2 linked regions of the Elephas maximus indicus genome follow. The protein of the gene in region 2 purifies or fractionates together with the protein of the main gene of each other region. This does not show direct contact. Links are inferred from orthologs where the notes say so. Each region holds a gene or a part of one and is shown on either strand. Other genes may lie near its edges. The genes, in order: GSK3A and AXIN2.

Region 1 (8,059 bases), on a different chromosome or scaffold from region 2:
CTCCCAAAAAGGCCATCTCTGCATTCTCCCCCTTTCTCTAGTCCCCTCTGTGGGTCTCAGAACTCCCTGCCTCCAAATATCTCTCATTCAGGGAATCAACTCTTAGCAAATTCTGATCGACACCCTGCCCAAGAAATCCTAGGCCTTGACCATGTTCCCCTCCTAACCTACATCCAGACTAGACCAGACTCCAAAATGCCAGTCCTTTGCACACCAGTTATTCCTCTACTTTCTTCTTCTCCATCTTCTTCTAGTGCCCTGGGCCTCCACTAGCCCATTGGGCACCTTCACATGAATGAGAGAAGGGCATCCGGCAGCAAAGTGCAGGGTTTGGTGAGCGCAACTCGCCAAGCACCTGGGGCAGAGTGGACCTCCATGGCCCTGCCAGTGTCCTTTCTCCTCTGGGAAGAAATGTAACTAGAAGTTAAGGTGCAGGGCCTGGCAATCAGACAGGCCAGACTCCAACCTTAACGTAGACGCTTCCTATGCAATTCGCTTATCTGAGTCTCAGTTTCTGCCTGCTTAGAACGGGAATAAGGACAGTACCAACCCTCAGAGAATATGTAAATTAGCTAAAAGCTTGCCTATGAAGCATACGTTACACGTGTCACAGAGTAGAACAAAGCTCTGCAGGATCTTCTTGGCTGTGATCTTTAGGGAAGCAGATTGTTCGGTCTTTCTTTCTGAGGCACTGCTTAGATGGGTTCAACCACCAACCTTTCTGTTGGTAGCTGAGCGCAAACCGTTTGCACCACCCAGGAACCTCATAAAGCACTTACGCAGAATGAACGCTCAACAAATGTCAGCTCTGGTATCTCCAGGATTCAACACTTCCTGTCTTCCCTACACCTCGTTCCCTTCTTTACCCCTTTCTCCTCTGGGCCATGATTGGATCTCCTGTGGAACCCAGGCTCCATCTGTTTTGCTAGGGCTCTCGCACCAGGTTACGTCCAATGCCCAACTCTCCTCTTCCCATTCCCCCCTAAGTACCTTGAACCTCTTGTCCTGGAGAACCTTCTTGATGGCCACCAGCTCCCCGGTCTCGGCCAGCCGTGCCTGGTACACGACCCCAAAAGAGCCATTGCCAATCACCTTGATGTCTGTGTAAGCCACCTCCTGGGAGCGCTCTGGGCCCTGGCCTAGGGTGGCTACCACTGTGGTCACTTTCCCGCTGTCACCTGGGGGACAATGGGGACAGATGATCCACTGACATTTCCCCTCTGGCCACCACCCCATCCCAGGGCTGTGGGGAGGGGGCCTCTTTGTTCCTTCCCCCTCCTTGAGGCAAGGTGGATGCTGGAACCCTCCCAGTGAAACCCTAAATCCTGCCTCTTTCCATAGGGGAGCATGTTGACACCTAAATCTCTTCACTGTTCAAGAGCTGATAATACAACTTCCATTCTAGAAAGCAATAAATGGCTGGTCACTCTTGGTTGAATCCATCTACTCTGGGTTTATTGACTTTTAACGGAACGATAACCCTGAGATACTCCTATTTTGAGAAAACGCCTGCGGGGCTAGTAATTTCTAAGTTTCTCAGGTAGAGCTAGTAACTTGGTGACAAAAACGAACGACCTCTCCTCATAGAGTGGTGGTACCCTGACTCTCACTTTTGGAGGAGTTACCCCTTACCCAATTACTACGGGGTTAGAAAAGGCACTGACCTGACCTCCTCATCTGGGTAGTCCAGGGCCCCAGACTCCTACCTGACAGACAAGCACCAAATTGTGAGAATGATGAACTTAATCCCTATCATCAGGGGGCTCTCCCAGCCTCAGTTCTTTAAAGAAAAACTATGACTCCCAATCCCCATTCTCTGAAGAGCAGCAAACTTTGGAACCATTCTTAGAGAATAGTGACCCCTTTTCTTTTGAGAACTGAGGACCCAGTAACAGCGATTCTCTTTTGGAGAGAGATGACCCTACATCACTTTTTCAGACCCAGTGGCACCATACTCCAGAAAAATTACTAAGAGAATTACGACTTCAAATCCACATTCTAGGGAGGACTCTTCCCCCCCCCCATTCCATTTTTGTGAAAAAACACCCACCGATCCATGTTCTTTAAATAACAGTGGATTTGAAAGGCATGGTGACTCTCAATTCCTGTTCTGTGGGGGGCTGGTGACACCTGTCCTTATTGCTCAGATGCAATAATCAATAATTTCCACCATTGGGGGTTTAGTACTACATATTTTGGGCCGGTGATGACGCCCGACCAGGTGTTTTAAAAGGGAAGATGACCTGGTTATCAGGTTTAGAAAACCCTTGCCCTGTTCTTTGGGACACAATAACCCCAAATCCCCGTTTGTAAATGATACTGAATCCAGATCCCCAGTCTTTGAGAGACAACAAATTCGGATCTCCCTTTTTGGAGGATGGCGATCTTATTCTTGTTTTCTTAGAACACAATAATCTTAGGCCCCCATTTGCAAAGGACAGTGACCCCAAAACCTGTTCTTTAAGGGATACGAATATCCAAACTTGTTTTTAAAACTCAAAAACGCGAGACATTGGTAATGGAAGAGCACGGACTGTAGCCCGCTTCTCTAAAAGTTAATAATTCTGACTGTAAACTCTAAATAATGGTGACCCCAAAATTCATTTCTCTGAAAAGTAAAAAGCTCAAACGCCAGTTTTGGGAGGCACAATGACCTCAGGCTCTTATCTGGGTATATGAAAGAACCTGATCGACATTTGAGGGACCCCGGGAATCCCAATCTCCACCTCCCACGGGAGCAGCCAGTACTCACGGCCCAGCTTCACTCCGGGCGGCGGGAAGCTGGTGCCCGCGCCTGGGCCGCCGCTGCCTCCTCCGCCGCTGCTGTTGGGGCCACCCCCGGAGCTCGAGGTCCCCACGCCCGCACCCATGGCCCCGACCGACGCCTTCCCGCCGCCACTGCCGCCTGGACCGGAGGCCGAGCCCCCGGGGCCGCCACCGCCGCCTCCGCCTCCGCCGCCCGGTTCCGCGAACGAGCTGGTCCGCGCCCGGCCCGAGCCCCCAGGGCCGCCCCCCGAAGGCGCGCCACCGCTCATGGCGCCGAGCGCAGACCCAGGCCAAGGGGCTCGGGCTCCCCGGGCTGCCCCCGCCGCCGCTGCTGCTGCCGCCGCCTCCTCAGTGCTCCGGCCTCCTTCAGGCCGCGCCGCTCGGGCTCCGGCCCAGCGCCCGCCGCGGAGCACGTCGGGAGATGCAGTCCGCTTGCTTTGCGCGTCGGTGTCACCGCCGTCGGCCCGTAGAGAAAGCCGCGTGGTACGCCGGGAAATGGAGTTCGCAAAGGCCACAGGGAAGATGGCGGGGGACGACGGGTCGCACTGCACGCTGGGAAATAAATTCCTGGGCAATCCATCGGTGAACTGCAGACGGCGGAACGCGAAGCACTTTGGAACATAGTCAGGGCCCCACACTTATTACACTGCGGCAACGGCGAGCCCCGAGAGGTGCTTCAGAAAAGTAGTCGCAGGCACTCCGTCAATGAGCAGTGTCTGGTGCATGCCGGGAATTGGAGTCCGGTAACCAGTGAATACCGGCTCCAGGTGCACACTGGGAAATTGAGTCGGTCCGTAGACTTGAAGATATCGAACCGTGGGGCAAACTGGGAAATGGAGTCGTGGCCGCGCCCACACCGCATTGCGGATGTAAAGGAGTTCCCAAAGCAAGCCGGGAAATGGAGTCCTGTGAGGTTCCTCAGCCCCAGGGGGTACTGCAGTTCCGGAGATAGGCTAGGAAATGGAGTTGGAACCTCGTCCCCCCTCCCTTGTACGCTCCGCCGCACTTCCTGTCGGGAAATGTAGTCGACACCAAGGCGTCAGCGCAGTTGCTACACGAGGAGTGGTGGCTTCTGGGGATTGAAGTTCAAGGTAGCCTCCCCATTGGCGGGGGGAGGGGTGAGGAGAAGAGGAAGGTTGTCACTTTGAGCCTGAAGCACGCTGGGGAATAGTCCAGGGTCCAGGCCGGATTCTGACCCCCCCTCTGTGAAACGAGACCGCAGGGGCTTGCCGGGAAATGGAGTCCAATGACTACCACTGAGCCAGATGGCACTCCCCTTGAGATACTGAAATGTGTTTCAACGCCTCCTTTTTTGTCCCCCAGGACCCAAGAAAGTGCCGAAGTCGATCGGGGGATGTTGAAAAATTGAGTCCGAGCACTCAAGTTCCAGGTGTCCTTACATTAGGCAGAAAAAGAAAAACATCCCTCCTCTAAAAGATTTGGGAAACAGTCTTTCAGAACACAGTTTTCGGATACGGTCTATCTTTTTCTAACATGTGTCGCACTACGAGGCTGAGCCAAGCGTTAAAAGAAATGAAAATAGAATTTGTCTTGAACCCCCACTCAGCTCTTTGCGTCCGCCCGCATCCTAAGTTACAGGATCCTGGAGGGCTCACAGGAGCTCGAGTGGCACAGTGATTAAGCCTTCGGCTTCTACCCAAAGGTCAGTGGTTGGGAATCCACCAGCTGCTCTGCGGTAGAAAGATGGGGCACTCTGCTTCCGAAAAGATGTAAAAAAAAAAAAAAAAAAAACAGCCTTGGAAACCCTGGGGGCAGTTCTGATCTGTCCTACAGGGTCGCTATGAGTCAGAATTGAATGCACGGCATTGCGTTTTGTTTGAGGTTCGGAGCGCTCAAAACAGCGAAGCCAGCTGCAAGCTGTAGCCTAGGGTTGGTGTTCGTTGAGTCGCCTCATCAATTAAACGAGAAGGAGCGTAACCCCAAAGTGCGCTGGGAAACAGAGTTCGTCTGTGCGTGCATGCGTGCGTGCGTGCGTGCGTGCGTGCGTGCGTGCGTCTCACCCCCAACACTTGAAACTAGAGCGAAAGCGCTCTTGGCTCCTCCTGCCTCGTGGAATGGTGGGAAATGGAGTCTTTGGACGCTAATCCAAGCCTCAGGTAGCAGAACTGTTCTGCTCTTTTCTGAGGCCTAAAGAAAATCCCGTCCACTCAGTGTGTTTCTAACTGCAATTCCCAGCAGACACAGCGCCCTGGGGCGAGATTGGCTTTAGCGCTAAAACCTTTTCGGACTACATCATCCAGAAGGCAAAACGCGGGCACGCTCCGTTTCTTTCTCACGGCATGAGGCTGTATCACGCATAGCTTGAAGCAGGTGTTTCTGGGAGTTGTAGTTTCTCGCTAAGCGGCGCCTGCTGCCCTCTGACGGCAGCTTGGAGCAGGAAAGTAAAAATCTGAGCCAAGCGCCAGGGCCTGGAGACCACACTGGACAGGACGGAGGTCGACAAGGCCGGCAGAGCGGGGCAGGGTAGCGGCGGTTACTTAACGGCCAGAACATACGCAGTGGGCTCCGCGTAGGCAACCGCTGCTGAGGTTATTGGGGCCCATGGGAGTCTGAGGGCGACGATCTAAGGGCATCTGTCAGGATGTTTGTAGGGGCTGAAAACATTCATAGACAGGTGCTAGGGATGGGTTGTGTCTATGAGGGGCCTAACGGTGTCAGGAGGGTTTGAGGGTTTGAAGAGGTGAAGGGATCTTTGATGGGCTGTAGGCACCTGAGAGCAATTATTGGGGACAAGCAGAGAAGTCTGAGGGGACGTAAAAGGCTTTTGGGAGATGGAGAATCTACTGGTGTCTAAGGGATCTCTGAGGGACCTGAAGGGTTGAGGGATGGTTGAGAAGCATCAGGAAGGGGCTATAGGGATCTGTCGGGGTGCTGGGGGCTATTAGATGTGAAGAGGGTCTCTGATGAGGTAAGTGAATATGTAAAGAATCTATAAAGTACTTTATACTTGTAGCCAAAGACTTCAGAGGAGATGGAGAGAACCAAGGGTGTCTTGCAGGACACTTTAGTATTTCAGGCCTGTGAATAGATTTAGATGTGTCATTCAAGATTGGGGGAGCCACTGGAGTTGTCAAGCCCAGATGCTACCTGACATCCCCTTATCCAGAATCTGGGACAAGAAGGCTGATAGGACTGTGGTCTGATCCTGGAGAGCAGTTCTGGAGCTGAGAACGTTTTAATCCATTTTAGAATTGGTTAGCAGTGTTTGAAAAAAACTCTTCATGAGCTAAGGGTCCTACCCCCCTTCCTCCAGTGACACCCCCCTTTCTCCATCACCCACCACCAATAATTTCTCAACTGCATCTGTGTTGCTAGGAGACATGCCTCAGCCCAACTTCCAGAAATAACCCAGCACAGCCGCTCCCAGGGGCCCCCACCCCAGGGAGTGACTTACATCACCCAGGAGAGGGAGCAGTTGCCCGCAGCCCGCCATAGGAGTCTGGATTTCCTGCCAATACCCCATCCCTGGATCCTCTTCACTGCCATTATCTGGGACCACCCACTCTGGGCTTGCATGAGATGAGGTTTAAGGGAGAGTGGGTAGACAGTTGCCAATGTTCCATCCCCCTCAGGCTTGCACCGGGTGGTACTGCAGTGAAGCCAATCCAACAAGCCCTAAGCCCTAAATGCCATGGCCTTGGGGAAACCCCTTCTCTTCTCTTCCTCAAGGACCTCACTTGCACTGAAGAGGTTGAGCTTGTCTCTAAGGAAACTTTAAACCCGGATTTCTCACGGATTATTTGATCCCTCATCCTACAAAGCTCTCCAATCTTGGTTTCTAACTTTATCCTGTGATCCCAAGTCCCTGATCTTGATCCAACCATCTTGGCTTTAAGGAGGAAAACTCAAAGGAGTTGTTGAAAGAACACTGGCTTTGGAGGCTGATCTCATTTAAAGTCCTGGCTCTGCTTCCTACCGCCTCTTGGCCTTGGGCAAGTCATTTAACTGAGCTGGTTGCCCCTACCTTGCTGGGTCTTGAAGGAGATAAACCACTGCAGCTTCTAGCTAGGTGCTGGGCACGAAGTAGGTCAATGAATGGTTAACTGTGGTTATCAAACCAGTCCCTCCTCAACTTGCTGGCTGGGGGCGTTTCCACTAAGGTACGTAGTAAGGTCTAACATTTCAAGATGTTTCAGGACTTGTCTCCCAGGGATTTCCTGATTTGCTTAGAAGTGACCTAAGGCGAGATATGGGGGCAGTGCAAAAGCACTCCCTGGCCCTCACTAGGGACCTCAGGGTATGGGAACTTGGAGCCAGGGCATTTCAGGTGACCAGAACAGTGAGAGCAACTCGGTGGTGGCGATAAGTCCCAAGCACTTTTCCAGGAATAAAGAAGCAGTCAGATACAGGGCCAGAGTCTGCTGAGACCTGAATCATTTCTGAGGTCAGGAGGTCACTTCCCAGGCCCGGATTTGACCCATTTAGACCAGGCCACAGACCCACTGCAGGTGCAGGGAAGTCCAGGGCCCTGTCTTTTGAAAATCAAGCCAAAGCTGTGGCCCCGTGGTGCCTACACCCAGCACCCAGGACAGATCACTGCATGAAAAAGGTCCGAAGTTTTATTGTTTTGAATACATTCTCCAGCAGCCCCTCCCTACCTCCCACCCCCCCATCCCCAATACAGAATAAGGCTTGACCACAGCCCCCCACCCCACCCCAGGGGCCCCAGCTGGGAGGCAGAGGGGGTTTCCAGTTTGGTTTCAGGGCACCCCCCTTTTCCACCCCCTGCACCCACCTGCCCATGGGCCAGTCCTAGGAGCAGCTGGGGGTGTAGGGATCGGACTGGTGCTGGGGTGGAGAATGGGAGAGAGATAGCAGGCACTTGTAGAGATTTGTGGCCCATGGGTGGTACCCCTCACCCTCCTCCACCCCCCTCCACCCCCCCCCACGGAATTTTTGGTTCATCATAAAAATTGTCCCTCCCTCCCCTGCTGCGACCTTGTGGGGTATGAGAAACCCAGGCACTCATGGCCCCTGGAAGGGCAGGGAAGGCAGGGTTGGGACTGGGACCACCTGGGGGCAGAAGAGAGGCATGAGAGGCAGAGGACAGAAGGGAGACGGCTTTACTTCCTAGGCAATTATAATAAAAAAGTTCCTGGGTGTTGAGGCCAAAGCCTCGTTCAAATAAAAATTCCCCAGAATGGAGGCAGCCCCCTTACCTCCCCAACTTCTCCCCCCCCTCCCTCCCACCACTTTGTCCAGAGCTTAGAAACCCACAGAGACAGGAGATAGCCCTGGGCACCCACCCTCCCCAACCATTAAAAAAAAAAAA
Region 2 (7,138 bases):
GTTCCCCCAGCCCATCCTCGTTCCGCCTAGTATTGGAGGACACAGGCATGGGTTTGGTGACCTGGCCCTTGCCCAGGCCAGCTTGGCACGGCGGGGTCTCCCCTTCCTCCCCAGGGACTGGGGGCCGTGGGGCATCCTCGCGGAAGCTACTGCTTGGGTCCGGGAGGCGAGTCACCAACGCAGCGCTACTCATGGTGAGGGAGTTCTCACTGAGTTTGGGCTTTTTTCCTTCCAGTTCCTCTCAGCAATCAGCGTGGTCTCTCTTTCTCTCTTAAGTCAGCAGGGGCTCATCTGAGCCTCCTCTCTGGAAAGAAAAGGAAGGGGGGAGGTGGGAAGAGAGAAAAGGGCATTGATCTAATCAAAACCAGATCTACCCAACATCAAAGCAAGAAAGTAAACAGGCTTTTCAACTCCTCAAATTCAAATCAAGCAACCCAGCTATCTGTGAGGTGCGCATCTGAAGTATCAGACGCTGCTTTTTCAAAGGCGAAATCTGAGCTCCCAGTATTTTTTGGGGGGGAGGGGGTGGGTGGAGAGGGGCGGGGAAGTGGAGATGGGGAAGAACGGAGATGCAAGCAAGGGGGACAGAAGGAGGGTAGGGACTGTGGGAGACAGAACCTTCCAAAAACCCGCTCTGCCCATGCATCCACGCACGCAGGGCAGCGCGGCCCACGCCTCCCCACTCCTTCCCCCTCCCCCGATAGCATCAACTCCAAACGACCCACTCCGAGGCGCGGGGCTGCGTACAGGTGAAACCAATTTCGGTAAGTTTCCCAACTCAGCTCTCCGCACAGATAACTGGAGCTCCAAACGTGCCCTTCCTCGGCATCTGGTTCCCATTCCCCCTTCCACCCCCTTCCTTCTGCGCTCCCCCTTCCACTCCTTAAAAATTCAGAAGCCCGCCCAGCACAGGGCGGAATGGGCTCTCGGACGCCGAGATCCAGCAGGCAAACGCCCCCACCCCAACCTAGATGTAAATGTCCGCTGCGCCCTCCCCCAGCCAAGAATCCGACTCCATCTCCACCTCGGTCTCCCCCAAACCAGAACCAACTCACTCAGCCTAGCCTTTGATCTTCAAACTTTGCAAGAGAACAGAGAAGCCTCGGGACCCGCCGCCCGGGTTCCCCCCTCCCGCCCACCTCCGGGAGCGAACCCTACAAAACCGGATCAGAAACCGTCTCACGCTACCACTGCCTGTACCAAGAATCCCAAACTCTACCGATCTGAAGCCTTTAAAAAAAAAAAAAAAAAAAAGTCTTATCTAACCAGTAAAGAAGCCTCTTTCCCTAGCAAGGGAAGGATCAAAATAAGGAGGGCGGGGGGGCCAGGGATACGGCGCGACCCCCGGCGAGGCGCCGGGGCTCCCCGACCAGGGTTGGGTGCGCGCGGCCCCCGCCTGGGGCCTCCGCGGCCGGGCAGGGCACCGCAGCTGACGGAATGGAGGGGCCCCCGGCAGCCGCCCACGGTACCCGGGGGAGGGGAGGTGGGGCGGCCCCGTTACCTGGCAGACGAAGGCGGACCGAGGCCGGGCTCTCATCTCTGCCAAGCCCCTCCGCACCGGCCCCCCAGCCCAAAGCAAACCAAACGCGTCCTAAGCCCCGCCGAGAGTGCCGTCGAGCGCGGGCCCGGAGCCCCGGGGGGTGAGGGTAGTGCCCCGGGACCGAACCGGGCCGGTCCCCCGCTCCACGCTCGCCGAGGCGCCCGCAGAAAAACCACGGAAAGCAGAGGCCAAGTCCAGAAATGGCGACGCGCGGAGTCTCCGCCGCTCCGCAACCGGGGCCGATGCGGCCAGGGGCGCGGGGCCCGGGCGGGGAGACGGCACGCGGGCGCCCGGGCTCGGGCCGGTCCTGCGCGCAGACTGAGCCAGGGCAGGCGCTCCGGGCCCCTTAGCGCAGGGAGGGGTGAAAGGGAGGGGGAGGGAGAGGAGCTGGGTGGGGGAGAGGGCTGAGGGAGGGCGCGCGGGGAGGGCGGGGAGCCACCACCCTTTCATCCCACCTTCCAAAAGCACTCCCGCGCACACTCACACTCTGACTCCCATCCATAACAGCAATAGCGGCGCGACCCCTGGGGGAACCTGCCCCTCTCCGCCGCCGCCGTCACTTGGCCAAGTCTCCTGGCCAGGCCCCCAGCCATCCCGGCCAGTGCTGGGGAGGGGGCTTCGGTTCAGGGCGTCCAGGCAGAGCCCCCAGAGTGCTGGGCGCCGGGCCCGCTGCTCCACTGCACGCCGGCGCGGAGCGCGCCCCGAAATAGCTCGCCAGAACTTCAAAGGGCCGCCCGGTACATCAAAGCGCGCGGGCCGCCCCGCCGACTCTGCCTGGCACTCACCATTGATCCGCGCGCGCGCTCCGCGGCGAAACCTCGTTGGCGCCCTGGGCAGGGCCCCGGCCCCGGCCCCCGGCTCGGCTCGCGGCGGCAGCCCCGGGCCCCCCCGGGCCGTCCCCGGCGGCGGGGAGCATGGGGAGTCGCGCGGCGGGGAGGGGGCGGTGGAACAACAAGCTCGGATTAGAGCGCAATCCACCGGCTAGGGAGGGTCGCGCAGCTCGCCCCGCCGCCCCTTTTATGCAAAAGATTCGCCCGGGCCTCCGCCCCCACCGCCCCGCCGCGGCCGCCCCCGGCCCCTCGGCCCCCGCCCGGCCGGCTTTCAACACAGGTCCTGTTTCCAGCAGTTACTCCGCGCACCAAATGTCCTCCGGGCGCTTCCAACAAAAACTGCGCTGTGGATTTAACTGTGCACTTCAAAGGCGCGAGCCGAGCGCACGGTCCTGAAAGGGAGGTACGCGCCCGCCGCGCACCGGGCCGCCCCCCGCACCCCCAGCACCCCTCCTGTGGGCCGTCGGGCCCGCGGCCCCCTCCCCAGCCCGGCCTCGGCCCCACCGGGCCCCCCTCCCCCCGAGCCCGCGATGGGGCTTGGCGCGACCTCGTCCCAGGGCCAAGAGGAGGCTTCCTCGGAAGCAGCTCTTCGGGGCCCAGGCCTGCACCCCCACCTTTTACACCAGAGTTTTCTGCGGGGGAGACGGGCGGCTCCGACGCCGGGCCGCCCCAAAAGCCTAGGCTATTGGGGGGTATTTTTATTTCCAGGCGCTCGGGTCGTTACTGAGTTGCCAGGACCTTATCAAAGCGCAGCCGGCTCCAGCCGACTCCCCCGGGCCCGGCTTCAGGAGCCAGTGATCCCGCCGCGCCTATCACAGCCGCGCTCGGCTGGCCCGCGCCGCCCGCCTTAAAGGGACAGCACCCGCTCCCGACCCGCCCCCGCCGCACGCTCTGCGCCCGCGTTAACCCTTCCCCGGCCTCCTCCGCCCCTTGCCAGCCCCCCGCGGCCCCAGCGGCTTTCGCAGCCCGAGTTTCTGATTTCGTCTTCCAAGTTCTCTGGTCTCTTTGCTCTCGCCTCCTCCCCTGCCTTCCCTCGCCCTCCCCAGCTCTGGAATGCAACAGTTTATTGTAGCATTCTGGCGATCGCCAGAACTGCAAGCAAGCAGATTTTTTTTCCCCCTATCATCAAACACTTTTCTACCTCCTATTAAAGTTTCTCTGAGAATTTGGTCTTGGAGATCCTTGTAAAGGGATTTCTAGCCCTGGGATCGACAGGCCAAGTGTCATAGAGCGTCCGCGGGCTCGGGCGCAGGCGTGTGCGTGCATGTGCGCGCGATCTGAGTTTGGGTAAATACAGGGCTAAGGTGCGTATGTGGAAGTGGGAAGATGAGGGCGTGAATCTACTAGCACAGGCCTGAGAGCTTGGAGACGCTCCCTGACACCTCGTTAGGAAGCATTCCTAAATTTCCCGAAGATTTAATCCCAACTCCTAACCTGGCCTGGCCCAGCGGATCCTTCACTGCACGCACATTGACCATCTCTCTGTAGCAGCTGCACACCCGTCATTCTCTTCCAAGCGTCCTCCGTCCTCCCATATGTTACGTATTAAGCTGACATGGGCTGTCTTCTTTCCCCCTAGACACCGCGGTTTTAACGTATTGAAAGCACCTCATCGCACTGCCACGGTCCCACCTTCCCCCAATAATGTTCATGGGACACAACCTTCTCTTTTCCCCTAGGACAGTAAGAAAATATACCACACATCCCGGAACATTATATGTTTGTTCATCTATTGCTTGAGAATGATCTCTCATGGGATGACCTAAAAAGTTAACTCTTCCTCTTAAAAAGCATTCAGAGTATAAACCAAGGAGCGTCAAGAACTGCTGGGCAGAGCCCCCAGCCTCATCAGAGCTAAGCCTGGGATTTGGCTCTCCACTTCCACTCACTTTTTCTTCATTTTCTTTCTTCTTTAATTTCATGTCTGACTAAAACCAAGCAACCCTGGTGCTGTAGAGTAGATTCCAACTCACGGCCACCCCACGTGTTAAGGAGTACAGCTGCCCCATAGGGTTTTCACAGCTGGAATCTTTAGGGAAAGAGATCACGAGGCCTTTCTTGCTGGGTGGGCTTGAACCACCAACCTTTCAGTTAGCAGCTGATTGCAAACCGTTTGTTCCACCCAGGGACCTTTATGTCTGACAAGCTCTTTTAAATGTAGAGGTGCCTCTAACCCCTCATCAGGCTGTTTAGGTTTCCACAGGAAAAGACAAAGAAGATATGCCACCCATGGTATGCTGGAAAAGGGCAAACCTCAGGGACAGCATTCCACTGCCCTCAGCATAGAACGGTGGGACAAGGGACTATACAGCCTTTGCACCCATGCTGCCATAGTCTCCAGCTCCTGGGTGCCAAGGAGGGCAGCATCTCCCTCCAGGAGACCTGCCTCTCTGTGTCCACATTTGCCCCTCTGGGCAACACCTCCCCAGGTGGCAGGGCTGGCTTAAAGCCAGCAGTCCAGGCTATGAAATACAGCCACCTCAGGGCAAACCAGGAAGGTCAGAGAGAGTGTGGCCTGATGAGTCATCTTTGGGTCACTGTTGGGTGTGAGGACACTGGAAGCCAGTCTGTCTCAGGTTGGCTCCGTCTCCTGGCCCAGCCTCCTGGAATCCCAAGGGTGAATGGCTGCCGGCCCCTCTCATGTGGCTTGTGGGTGTGAGCTCTGAGCTGGTGTATGGGACCCAGGGCCAAGGGCACACCCACCCCACTCCAGGAGAGCAAAGAACAAAGCTGTCCCTTGGGTCAGAACCTGTGGCTCCAGGGAGTCTTTAGGCCACAGAGGGTGTTATTAAGGAACAAAAATGTATACAGAGAGGAATGGAATGAATTGCCATAGAAGCATCTACAATATAAACAACAGCGTGCACGTGCGCACGCACACACACACACACACACACACACACACACACACACAATGTGGGGGAGGGGAGGTGGAAATATCAAAACATCAAAATCAAAATAAACAGCATTCAGAAAGAGGAAGGTTCAAAACAGGAAGTGGAAACTTGGTCTTCATGGGTGGCTTTCCTCCCCTCCCTGCTGTCCCGGCTGACCCTTCACGGCCCCCCACCCAGCCCTCATCATCATAGGATCCCTTTAACCAAAGGACACCCCTTCAGTGCCCTCATTATCCCAGTGCTGCAGTGGCAGGAAGGAGGGGCTGACCGTGGGAAGCAGGAGCAAGGCCTGGCTCACTTTGGATCTTCTCAGGAACAGCCCTTTGGAGAGGGAGCCTGGCTACCACAACAGGTGCTTGGTCACCTCAGGCCCATGACTGCCCCCCCATCTCACCCCTGCCCTGCTCCCCTCTCTCCTCTACTTCTCTGTGGTACATTTTCCACCCAGCAGGAGACAGGGCAAAGTGCTGAGAAGCCAGAAGCTCTCTCTAGCCTCTGTGTCTTTGACTACTTGTTGATAATATTTCTAGAGAAAAAGCCAAAGTCCTTTGCTTTTACTCAGCCCCTTTCTCAAGATAGCACCATGTTCCATTTTCCCCTTCTCCCTGGCAGCAGCACTATCATGTGACTTGTTGTAATCCTGCATGGTTGCCTGGAAACTAGAAAGCAAGGTGATGGATTTCTGCACATGCTCACTCCCCGCCCCCCTTTAAAGAAAAACCCTACAGAGAATAAACAGGCCACTTTGCCCAAGTGCAGACAAGTTTAATAAAGCTGGAGGGGGGGTGGTTGGTGATTCTCTTCTGGAATTATGTACTGGACTGAAATCCTAGAATCCCAGAAAACCAGGACTCCGGGCTGCCTGAGAGGCATCTGGCCAGATCGCTGACCTTTAGTGAGCCCCACAAAAGCCACTCTGGAAGGAAAGTCACACCGCCGGGGCTCCAGGGGAACTCAGACCCAAGACGTGGCTCGCTAAGATTCAGAAACGTTGCCTTTAATTTCTTTGGAAAAGTGCCGCCTTAGACAATGTAGCTTTGTTTAGGGAGGGAGGTGGAGAGAGACACAGGTAACCTTTCCCAAGACTGTAGGTGACCCAACCACTGGGAGTCTCCCTTTGTTCACCTATAGAGTGGAAAAACCGCCCCCTCAAAAGGCTGTGGTAGGGATGAGCCATAAAGAAAATGCCCAGCAAGGTGCTTGACACATAGTAGGCACTCAAAACATGGTGGTTATTTCTGTGTAGCTGCCCTGTCTCCTCAATAACCTATAACCTGTTACCTGTTCTGGAAGAAACTGCCCGTCTACAGAGCAAAGACACCTTCCAAATTAGGAGCCATACTCCTGGGTTAGGGGCCTGGAACCTGACCAAAGAGGTCCTCAAAAGCCTAGCTGTCATCCCTGCACAGAGGGGCTGGGGCTGGGGGAACAAATGGGACTGTGCCTTTCTGCCCTCTTTCAAAGACAGTCCCATATCCAGTGCCCAAAAAGTAATATCAGAATATCCCAACCCAAGGGGTCCTTAACATGCTATCTAATTCAATACCATCATTTAACAGAGGAGGGACATCAAGCAGAGAGAGGGTGAAGGGATTTTCCCAAGATCATTTTGCCCATGTCAGAGCTGAGCTAGAACCTCCCAGAGGTCCTGATTCTTGGTCCATCCTCTCCTTTTTCCACCACATCAAGGTGAGGAGACCAAGAGCAAGGCTGTTAAGAGGTGGGCCTGAGCATCTTGAGTCCTTGACTTCCACGGAAGGACTAATAAATAGGATTTGGGATGTTTTCCTCAAAGAATCAGAACAGAGCTTCAGCCTCAAATTACACAGAAGCGTGCCTCATTCAACCCCTAAAGTTTTGACCCCTAGAAC

Evidence for each region.
Region 1: the proteins of AXIN2 (region 2) and GSK3A purify together in Homo sapiens (affinity purification with mass spectrometry; 3 studies listed by BioGRID and IntAct, with this or other methods). This does not show direct contact. The link is inferred for Elephas maximus indicus from reciprocal best matches to the Homo sapiens genes AXIN2 and GSK3A.

The regions. Positions count from the first base shown.
Region 1 is NC_064829.1:108,673,333-108,681,391, reverse strand, and holds the start of GSK3A (glycogen synthase kinase-3 alpha), read right to left. Parts: upstream 3,221-8,059; 5' UTR 3,036-3,220; coding exon 2,753-3,035; intron 1,707-2,752; coding exon 1,665-1,706; intron 1,179-1,664; coding exon 991-1,178; intron 1-990. UniProt on the Homo sapiens protein: Constitutively active protein kinase that acts as a negative regulator in the hormonal control of glucose homeostasis, Wnt signaling and regulation of transcription factors and microtubules, by phosphorylating and inactivating glycogen synthase (GYS1 or GYS2), CTNNB1/beta-catenin, APC and AXIN1.
Region 2 is NC_064837.1:58,198,239-58,205,376, reverse strand, and holds the start of AXIN2 (axin-2), read right to left. Parts: upstream 3,126-7,138; 5' UTR 3,109-3,125; intron 3,098-3,108; exon of another isoform or gene 2,985-3,097; intron 2,583-2,984; exon of another isoform or gene 2,326-2,582; intron 2,320-2,325; exon of another isoform or gene 2,025-2,319; intron 1,875-2,024; exon of another isoform or gene 1,502-1,874; intron 305-1,501; 5' UTR 194-304; coding exon 1-193. UniProt on the Homo sapiens protein: Inhibitor of the Wnt signaling pathway. Down-regulates beta-catenin. Probably facilitate the phosphorylation of beta-catenin and APC by GSK3B.